2 linked regions of the Caenorhabditis elegans genome follow. The protein of the gene in region 1 purifies or fractionates together with the protein of each later gene. This does not show direct contact. Each region holds a gene or a part of one and is shown in the gene's direction. Other genes may lie near its edges.

Evidence for each region. The genes of interacting proteins can lie anywhere in the genome.
Region 2: the proteins of T23B5.3 (region 1) and egc-2 fractionate together in Caenorhabditis elegans (co-fractionation; one large-scale study listed by BioGRID). This does not show direct contact.

Annotation. Positions count from the first base shown.
Region 1 is NC_003282.8:12,686,557-12,691,683, forward strand, and holds the start of T23B5.3 (C3H1-type domain-containing protein), read left to right. Parts: upstream 1-2,113; coding exon 2,114-2,177; intron 2,178-2,228; coding exon 2,229-2,326; intron 2,327-4,765; exon of another isoform or gene 4,766-4,815; intron 4,816-5,127.
Region 2 is NC_003282.8:8,899,837-8,903,891, forward strand, and holds egc-2 (CCHC-type domain-containing protein), read left to right. Parts: upstream 1-1,809; 5' UTR 1,810-1,824; coding exon 1,825-1,881; intron 1,882-1,927; coding exon 1,928-2,549; intron 2,550-2,596; coding exon 2,597-2,914; intron 2,915-2,960; coding exon 2,961-3,124; 3' UTR 3,125-3,341; downstream 3,342-4,055. Other genes in the region: rad-54.L2 (Helicase ARIP4), read left to right, coding at 1-886, 930-1,079, 1,126-1,211; Putative serine/threonine-protein phosphatase C27B7.6, read right to left, coding at 3,411-3,564, 3,865-3,945, 4,053-4,055.

The DNA of each region.
Region 1 (5,127 bases):
AGCTAAAATCAAAACATTTGACAACTTCTCGGCGTGGCAGCGTGTGACACTGAGAAGTTGGCAAAAATTTTGATTTTAGCTGAAAATTGGCCTTTTTTTGCCAAACTTTGAACCGCATCTAACTTTTTTTTGAGAAAATTTCATAACGTCTCATTACGAAAATCGGTAGTTTTGGGAAAATACACAGTATATCGATTGACATTCTAAAAAAATTGCACATTTTGCCGTTTAAACCCCAAAATTAAATACAGCTCAATATATTTATCGGTGCTGTAAATGCATTTTTCCCTTGGTTTTCATAATTTCTCACTTGAGTCTAAATCCGATCAGAAATCAATTGACCCCCCCCCCCCCCTTCGGCTCTCGGAGCAACAATCTCAAGAACTTGTATTTGCACATTGTCAAACATAAGTTGACATTCCCCAGATATATCTCGTACGGTTTGGATTTTACGTGATATATCTTACATACTCGACTTTTTTCTGTACTGTTAATCGATTTAGCAGTGGTAAAGACGTTTTTAATTTGGGCCTATTATTAAGAATGAAGACAAAAACTAAAAAATTTACGACAAGACTCTAATTTTGGGAGGCAGAAAATTGCAGATCTAAATGAGAAAATATAGACCCCTTCAAAATTTTGGCTCTCGAGTTTTCCCGTTTACGCACGTGGGGCCAGGCTGTCCCATCACGGTCTGATCTACAAAAAAAATGCGGGAATTCTTTGCTCAAAAAAATGTGACGACAGCACGTTCTTAACCATGCGAAATGAGGTGAGAACTCTGCGTCTCTTTTCCCGCATTTTTTGTAGATCTACGTAGATCTACGGCGAATATGAGACACTCTGACACCACGTGTATATTGTATATTTTCATTCTCAAGACCAAGTACAATTTCAAAAATTTCGAAAAAATCTGAAACCGTGTAAAGTGTGTAGGTGGCAGGCGGCTGCCCTCCTTGTTTGAGGTCATCAAATTATGCAAACTACCATTCATGCTGCCGAAGAGGTGGTAAAAGGAATAAGAAGAAGAACAGTGACAGGTATAGGACGACGCATAATTTTATTACCACACGTCCTCTAACTCTCTTCTCTCTACAATACCTCCTATCTCATCCGTTTTCCCTCGAATGTTACTATTAGTATTTCTAGTATTGAGGGGAGGTAGTTGTATTACGATTTTTGAACATTTTTTGATTTGTGTCGTTTGGAACGGTTTTGTTACAGCATACAGTAATAATGTATGTTTTACCAAAATTCACGGTTTTGGGTCCTGGCAAGAACGGAGATTCGGACAGCCACGAGAATTTTTTTTAGCTTTAAATCTATTTTCTGTAAAACGATAATAGAGTTTTTCTGATATTCTTCAAGTTATTTTTTAATAGAATTTTTTAATTTAAAAAAAACTAATTTTAGTTTTTATCTTCGAGCATCAGAAAAAAAATTAAATTTAAAATTTTTCAACAAAAACAAAGAAAGATTTTTTTTTGAAAAAAATTCTTTACATATAATTATAACCCATTTTCGAAAACAAATGGAACGAAAAATTGAATAACATCACGGGTACGGTGGCTAAACAGTTACGCTCGTGCCAAGACCTGAAACCATGAGTTTTTGACGATTTTTTTGCTAACAGCTACCCATTTCCCCATGCTTATTATAGAAAAAATATCTGAATAATTCATAAGCGCCTCTACTTAAATTCGTAGTTTCTTTTCGTGAGTAGGTCTATAGGTCACCTTCCAGGCCCTCACTAATTAGAAATCCTGAATATAACTAATTTAGTCATCTTCCTGCAGTGCGCGATCCGAAATATCACATTTATTACATAATTAATGGTTATCGAAATTCCAAATTGAATTCTAATAAATTTTCAATTTTTTGACTAATCAATCTGTTTTAATAGAATTTTTTTCAAAATTTTCTGAAAATCGCTCCCCCGCTTCTTCTTCAACTTTAAATTTTCTATCACATGTTGTTCTTTCCCATCTAAAAACTTTCTTATCATCCGGCCCCCTCCTTCACTTGTCGAAAACAATTTTGCACTTATTATTCACTCTTTTTTTCAAAGTTTTGCAAATAAAAAATCTTTGTTTTTTTCAGTACGTTGCAAAAAATGATTCGCCATGAAAGTTCGGATTTTCTACGACAAAAACAGGCACAATGGGAACGGGAGAAAGGTTTTTTGCCAATTTTTAATTGAAAAAAAAAATATTGAAACAAAATTTCAGCCGAATCAGAAGCTCGATCCGAATGGTTTCCGTTTGGTGAGAATTTGACGCCCGGTGGTGGATCTCCATTGAGGAAGTTTGAGCCAAAAGAGTCTGTGGTAAGTTTTTAAAAAATTTAAATTGAAAAATGATTTAAAAAATCATTTTGATCGAAAAATCACATTAGTTTTAACTAATTTTTCTTTAAGAAGTAAAAAAATCGATGAAAATTATCAGAAAAATTGGAAAATTTGTGATGGATCAATTTTTTGATTGACGATAATTATGAAAAAAAACTTTTATTTTTCCGGAAAAAAAATCGGAATTTGGAAGATTTCGGATTTTTTTCGACTTCGTTCCAAAGGGAATCCAAAATTAGAGATTTGAAAAATGGAAGTTTTTGAAAATATAATATTGAAACAAATTTGGCCGAAAAATTGTCTAAATGTTTTTCTTTAATTTTTACAAAAAATTGAAATTTTTTGATTTTTAAAATTTATTTTTTTCAAAAAAAACTGAAATTTTACATTCGTAATGTGCTTTTTAGTGAATTTTTTTAATTGTTAAAAATGGAGAAACGAACCGATTTCTGAAAAAAAAAACAGTTTTTTTCGGAAAACCTTTAAACAAAATCATTTTAAAAATTTAGTTTTTTTTTTAATTTTTCAACAAAAAATTGAAATCCTTATTCTCGATTTTTATGTGATGACGTCATCCTTTTTCTCTGCAAAAATGCCCAGAAAAATGACTATGACGTCACAATTTCTGAAAATTATGATGGAATCTTTCTCATAATGTTACAAAGAAATTCTATGTTTCCAGCCCATTGATCAATGTATTGTAGCGTAGAAATCATTGCTTCATCCTAGAAAAAAGCAAAAAAAGCATCCCTTTTCATATTTTTCCGACCAATTTGCTGCTACCATCCAGTTTTGACCTACATTTCCCCCCAATGTCTCCGTAATCACTTTTTTATCACTAAAAAAGATCTCCGATAAAGGGTGAAAGAGCATGTGATGAACCTCTCTCTTATCAGTAGGCATCGGGAAAATGTTGCCTTATTTTAATACCTTCACTCGAGGGAATTCGAAATTCGCAAACAATTCCCCGTTTCATCAATGATTTTATGACCTCCCTAACAAGTGTCAACCGGAATTTAAAAATTGGGGGAAAAATGACAAAAAAGGTTATCACACTACATATTGAGCACATACACACGCCAATCAAAAATTGGCTCATTTTGATTTGGGTGCATTGATTTTTTTCTCGTCATAATCAGTAGTTTTGTCTAGAGATATTAGTGTCGAAAAAGAACGTTGCTGATTAAAAATGGGCGGAACTTTTTTTTTGCAATCTTGCGGCACGGTTTTTATAGACTTTTAAGCTCTGTCGTTTTAAATTCTTTATCGTAATTAAAAAATCACAATTTTCAATATAGGATTTAGCGTTTTTTTTTTCTGAATTTCAGAAAATTTTGGGTATTTTAAAATGATATCCCCATTTTTGAAGGATATGTTAAAGTAAATTCTGCAGGATTTTGCTTAAAATGTTCCATGTTTCGCAATAAATTTCATTGAATTCATCAAAATTCTAGCAAAAGGAAAAGCTTTCCTTTTCCACTGGGCTCATCAATTGGGCTCAGTGTGCCGGCTGCTTCCCGGAGCATTTCGAAATACTTTCTTTTTCCATCTTTTGGTCACTTTTTTTCCATTTCACCAGATGGGCTTTCAATACTTTCGCTCGGAACCTCTTCAATTTTTAATGATATTTTATCGATGAACATATATTCGAAGTTATAATTATCGGATTTTCATTAGAATTTACACGTTTAGTTTTTTTTTTCGATTGGTGGGTGCATGCAAGGCGATGACTAAACAAATGAATCAGCATCTTCCTACAGAGAAAAAAAAACTAGAAAAACTTCAAAATTACACTTTTCGTGGTGCTGCCTTTTATGTGAACGAAGAAAATTTGTAATTTCCAATTCAAATTCGAATATTTTCAAATTTTGGCGGCGTTCTTTTAGAGTTTTAGGATAATAATTACGCCTTGGTAAGCAGGGAGGCTATTTCCTTATCGAAAGTTGAGACGGGTGTAGTAGTGAAAATTGAATTATATTTTGCTTGCAAGAAATACAATTTACGAAATTTCCCAATGGATTGTGGCGGTATATCGGAGCCTATTGTGGCCTGATTCGTTCCTTGTAACTACACTACAAATACAGCGAAAATAAGTGCAAGAACACAAATTATTAATCCAAAAAATCCAAGATATGGACGGAGTTGAAGGCTCCGCCCTTTTCTTGGCTCTCCATTTAAGGCTTTTTTGGCGGTTTTCAAAAGTATTCTAGTTTTGAAAAAACCTTTCTCCCTGGTAATCTGAATTTTATTCTCGATGAATTTGAATTCTAAAAAAAACGGTGGGCTTCTTCTCCATCTCTTACGACATTTCGTTGTTGTTTTTTCTTCCCTCTCTGCGGCGGTAGCTGTATTCAAATGCAAACGATTGAATCTTTTCAATGAATCTCAATTTCTGTGGTGTGTGTGCGGGAGGACAGTCACACCGTAATCCGATTAAGTTCCTTCTCGTTCTTCTCACTTTCTTTTCTCCCCCCCCCCCCCCCTCTACTCCTGCTGTCACCTCCATTTTTTCACGCTTCGTCGAAATTTTTGCCGGGCTGCTTTTTTTTGAGTCTCAATTTCGATTTTCTCGGGCTTCTCGTGTTTGAGAATGGTTGGGAATTCTCTCACACGGCCATGTGTAGATTTACGAAGGCCGTGTACTCCCCGAAGAAAACATGATTTTACAGTTCTTGCAAAATTTTTTTTGAAAATCTGTTTTTCTAGGGAAAAATTATAGGAATTTGAATTTCCCGCCAAACATTATTTTGAATTTTCTGCAGAAAATATTGGAAATTTGA
Region 2 (4,055 bases), 3.8 Mb from region 1:
CGATATGGTCAACAGAAGAAAACATTTGTTTATCGTCTTATTATGGATAACTCAATGGAGCGATCGATTTTCAATCGACAAATTTCAAAACATGGACTACAACAAAGAGTAGTTGACGATGCACAAGTTGATGCAAATATTTCGCAAAAAGAATTGGAGACTCTTCTAATGTATGATGAGGCACAAGATGTTAATCATGACAAATGGAATACAGATGATTGGGATTTCGGAGATCCGGTTCTAGACTCAATCACTAAGAGAATGAGTCAAATGTTTGCCGGGAAACCGTTCCTTCATGAAACCTTGATAATGGAGTCAGAGCAATCACTCAGCGAGCAGGAAAAACGAGAAGCTCAATTACTTTTTGATAGAGAACGACGTATGGAGAACTATGATCCATTGAGTGGCCTGAGCAGTTCTAACTTTTATAACAATGCTCCTGGAAGCTCAATGGGAATGATGGGTCCACCACCAGTTCCGATGTTCAATAATAACATGCAAAATAGTTTCAATAATCATTGGCAACAATCTCCTAATCAGCTTGCACCCAATTTTGGATCTTATCCACCACAGCAATTTCCACAACCGATGCCAAACATGTCACAATTTCCACCTCATGGACCATCACCTCAAATTCCATCAATTCGTCCATCACCAATGCCTCACACGCTTCGAATGAATGTCAGTCAATTCCATCACCAAGGAGGTGGTCATACGATGACGTCATTCAACAATGGCTATCCGAATAATAACAATGGAGGAGCTATAGGAAACCCTCAACAAATGCTTCCTCCAAGAGATCCATCAGCTTTTCCGGGAGCTGTTATGAGCAAAATACCATCATTTTCCCCGGCTGGAGCAGTTCAACAATTGATTACTGATAGACGTGAGTTTGACGTTTAAGTTTTTTTGAAAATTCAAATTTTTAGAACTCGTTTTTCCCATTGTCGGACATAGAGATCAGCTTCATCAGGTTCAGGCAAATACACCAATACAGTTAGTTGTTCCGAAAAATGGATATTATGTGAAACTACGTGATGGAACAATTCTTGACGCTGTCGGAAGTGTTTTTGAGAATCGTTAGTTTACTAGAAAAAATTTCGTATAATTTTTTAAAATTTATAGATGCCCGTCAGCTTCGTGATATGTATCTAAGCAAAAATTTCAACCATGATCCGCAGCAGGTTCAAGAAGTCATCGATCTTGATTAACAACGTCTTGCATTTTTTTCTTTTGATGTACATTTCGTTTTTTATCATATAAAATACAACATCTATCTCAATGCAACATCCAATGAGATCTCTGATAATTCACTATCATTTTACTCAATTATTTTTCCTCTTATAGAGGCTCCTAAATTAATTTTAGGCAAGTTTCGAATTTCCACATTTCAACTTTGTCCACACTCTTCCCTTTTATCATTAGTATGTCAATTAATTAAATTTTTCTGTTTTTTCCAACACAGTAATCAGCTCCGCTGTTCGGCAAGCTGCCAATTGTGTTTTATACGCCTTCTCTTTTAATTTAATGAATAAATACGAATAATATTTAAATTATCGGATTCGCTTGAAAGAGAAATTGGAATAACATTTTTCCGCAGATCCCCGTTTTGTAGTGCCTCTTAATAACGCGTTTTTAAATACTGACTTGGTTACTGTAGGTTTTGGTCCCGACACGAAATTCTGAACTCGTTCGGCACGTTTCTTCAATTTTCTTCATTTCTCTCACCCATTTCTGATGAATTAATGGTTTTTAGATTAATTTTTAAATATTCAGCGTTCTGCCAGTTTCTCAAAATAATTTTTTTAGACATTTCGGTCGGATATGTCGGAATTGTCGAGTGAAATGAAGTCAATGGAAAACGGAATGTCGGCGAGAACGGTATTTTTTATCAAATTAATGACAATTTGTAAACTATTCATTTCAGGACAGACAACATTATCTTGAGAGAGCTCAATACTCTCCATGGCCAAAAACTCAAAATAGTGGAGCATTCGGAGCGCTAACTGATCAACCGAGAAAGTATCGAGGAGGATTTGGAGGAGGTGAAGGCTTCTCTGATTTTGGATCCGTTAGTGGACTTGGCGGTAGAATCCCCAGAAACTCCTCTCACCTAAACGACAGTTCTGGATTTGGTTCCGTACGAGGAGGGTACAGCAGTTATCGAGAAAGCAGATCATCTCGTGTTGCTGTTTCGGATGCTCTTTACATGAATAATGAACGTTGCGTGACACCTCTGCCATCTGAGAATATAATGGGTAGTCCACGGCGTGGATCTTTCCGAAGTTCGCCCCGATCCGATGGTATGGGATCTTCATCGAAGAGACCACGCTCTGGCCGCCGAACCGGTAGACGTGGGCGAGGTGGGCCAGGCCACTGCTTCCATTGTCAAGAGCATGGACACATTTCGAGAATGTGCCCGAAGAAGGTTGGAGAAACGGATGAACACGGAGATGGAAAAGATATCGAAGTGGAACCATTTGAGACGAAAGATTTACTCCAAGAAGACGCATCAAGATACTCTTCTAATATGAAGGCTTTGCATGGAGGTTATTGTTTGAATACTAGGAAAACGTAACAATTTTTATGTTTTCAGGTGGACTGTATCAAAGCAAGTTGGACAATCAAAAGGCCCGTGAGTCTTATTATGGAGGGTACGGCTACAGCATCAACAGTCTCACCCCAAGAAGTGTTGGCAGCGTGAGAAGTGGTTTCACAGCACCAATGATGTCGCCCGAAATTGACAAATTCTCAGAGCAGTTGGACAATGCTTTGAAGCTCAGCAATGTCGAGCCGGTAGCTCCGTCGCCATACGTGATGACTATCACTGGAAAAGGGCCAGCTGAAAAATTGATGAAAGAAGTGCCACCAGTTGCTCCAATCAACACTCTACAGAGCAGAGAAGGAGCCAAACGTGAGATTATCAAAATTCTATAATTGTATAATGTTCATTATTACAGAAATTTCTACGGAGACTTTGTCAATCGAGACACGCAGAACTGTGATGCGCGATGGAGAATTCCACTTCGAGGAGACGACTATCATCAATTTCCCACGAGTTCTTCCGCCCAACGTCCGTGTCATCGCTGCCCAGTTCGTGCCGGTCGCTTCACAAAATTCATAATTTCTGATAATTATGATGCTATCAAGGAAAATGTTTAATAATTACTATTGGGAACTCTGCCCAATTTGCAGCGTATTTTTACTGTTTTTCATTGTTGTTCCATTTATTGACTTCTAGGTATTGTTTTTTACGTTCTGGAATTGTTTCTGTCCTAAATTTGAAAACTTGTATTTTTGATTTGAGTCTTCAACCTCATTTCATAAAAGTGTTTCATGTTACTCTCGTTTCATAATTATACACACTCAAACTTGAACATTTTCTACAGTATACTTCATTCAAAGGAAATCTACGCATTTTCAGTAGAACTCGGAGGCGATCGTGGAATTGGCGGAGATTGGGCGAGTGGAGCGTCCGGAGATGGAGTTCTTGGCGGAGGCGGCGTCGTACTAGTAGTCATTCCCAATTTTTTGCGGATTGATTCAAGAGACATGACTTTATCTCTGGAAATATTGTAAACATGAAAAAACTTCTTCGCATATAAAAAACCAGCCGTGGACCGCACCTTCGGCGCGGCCCCCGACTTCTGGGGCTGAAAATTAATTTTTTATGAAACTACCGTAACCCTACAGTATTCCTACCGTACCACTATTGTACCACTACAGTACCCCAACTATATCCCTACACTAACCCTAACTCACTATCCCTCCAGAAGCCAAAACTTCACAGACTACAAAGGCTACATAGACTACAAACTATGGACACACAGAATAAGCGCTTTATATATAGTAAATGATACTTACTTCAAACTAACTTCTACTCCATATCCTTTCTGTGTCTTGCGAATCATGTCCAATACAGAATGATCTTCATCTTGGTTTGAGCTGGAAATTACACATATTGAAAATGCTCCTATAACATGATTGTGAAGTCATGTTTCCGAATAATTAGACGGTCACATTTTCCAGAGGTACTGAAGCTTTAATCTCACCTA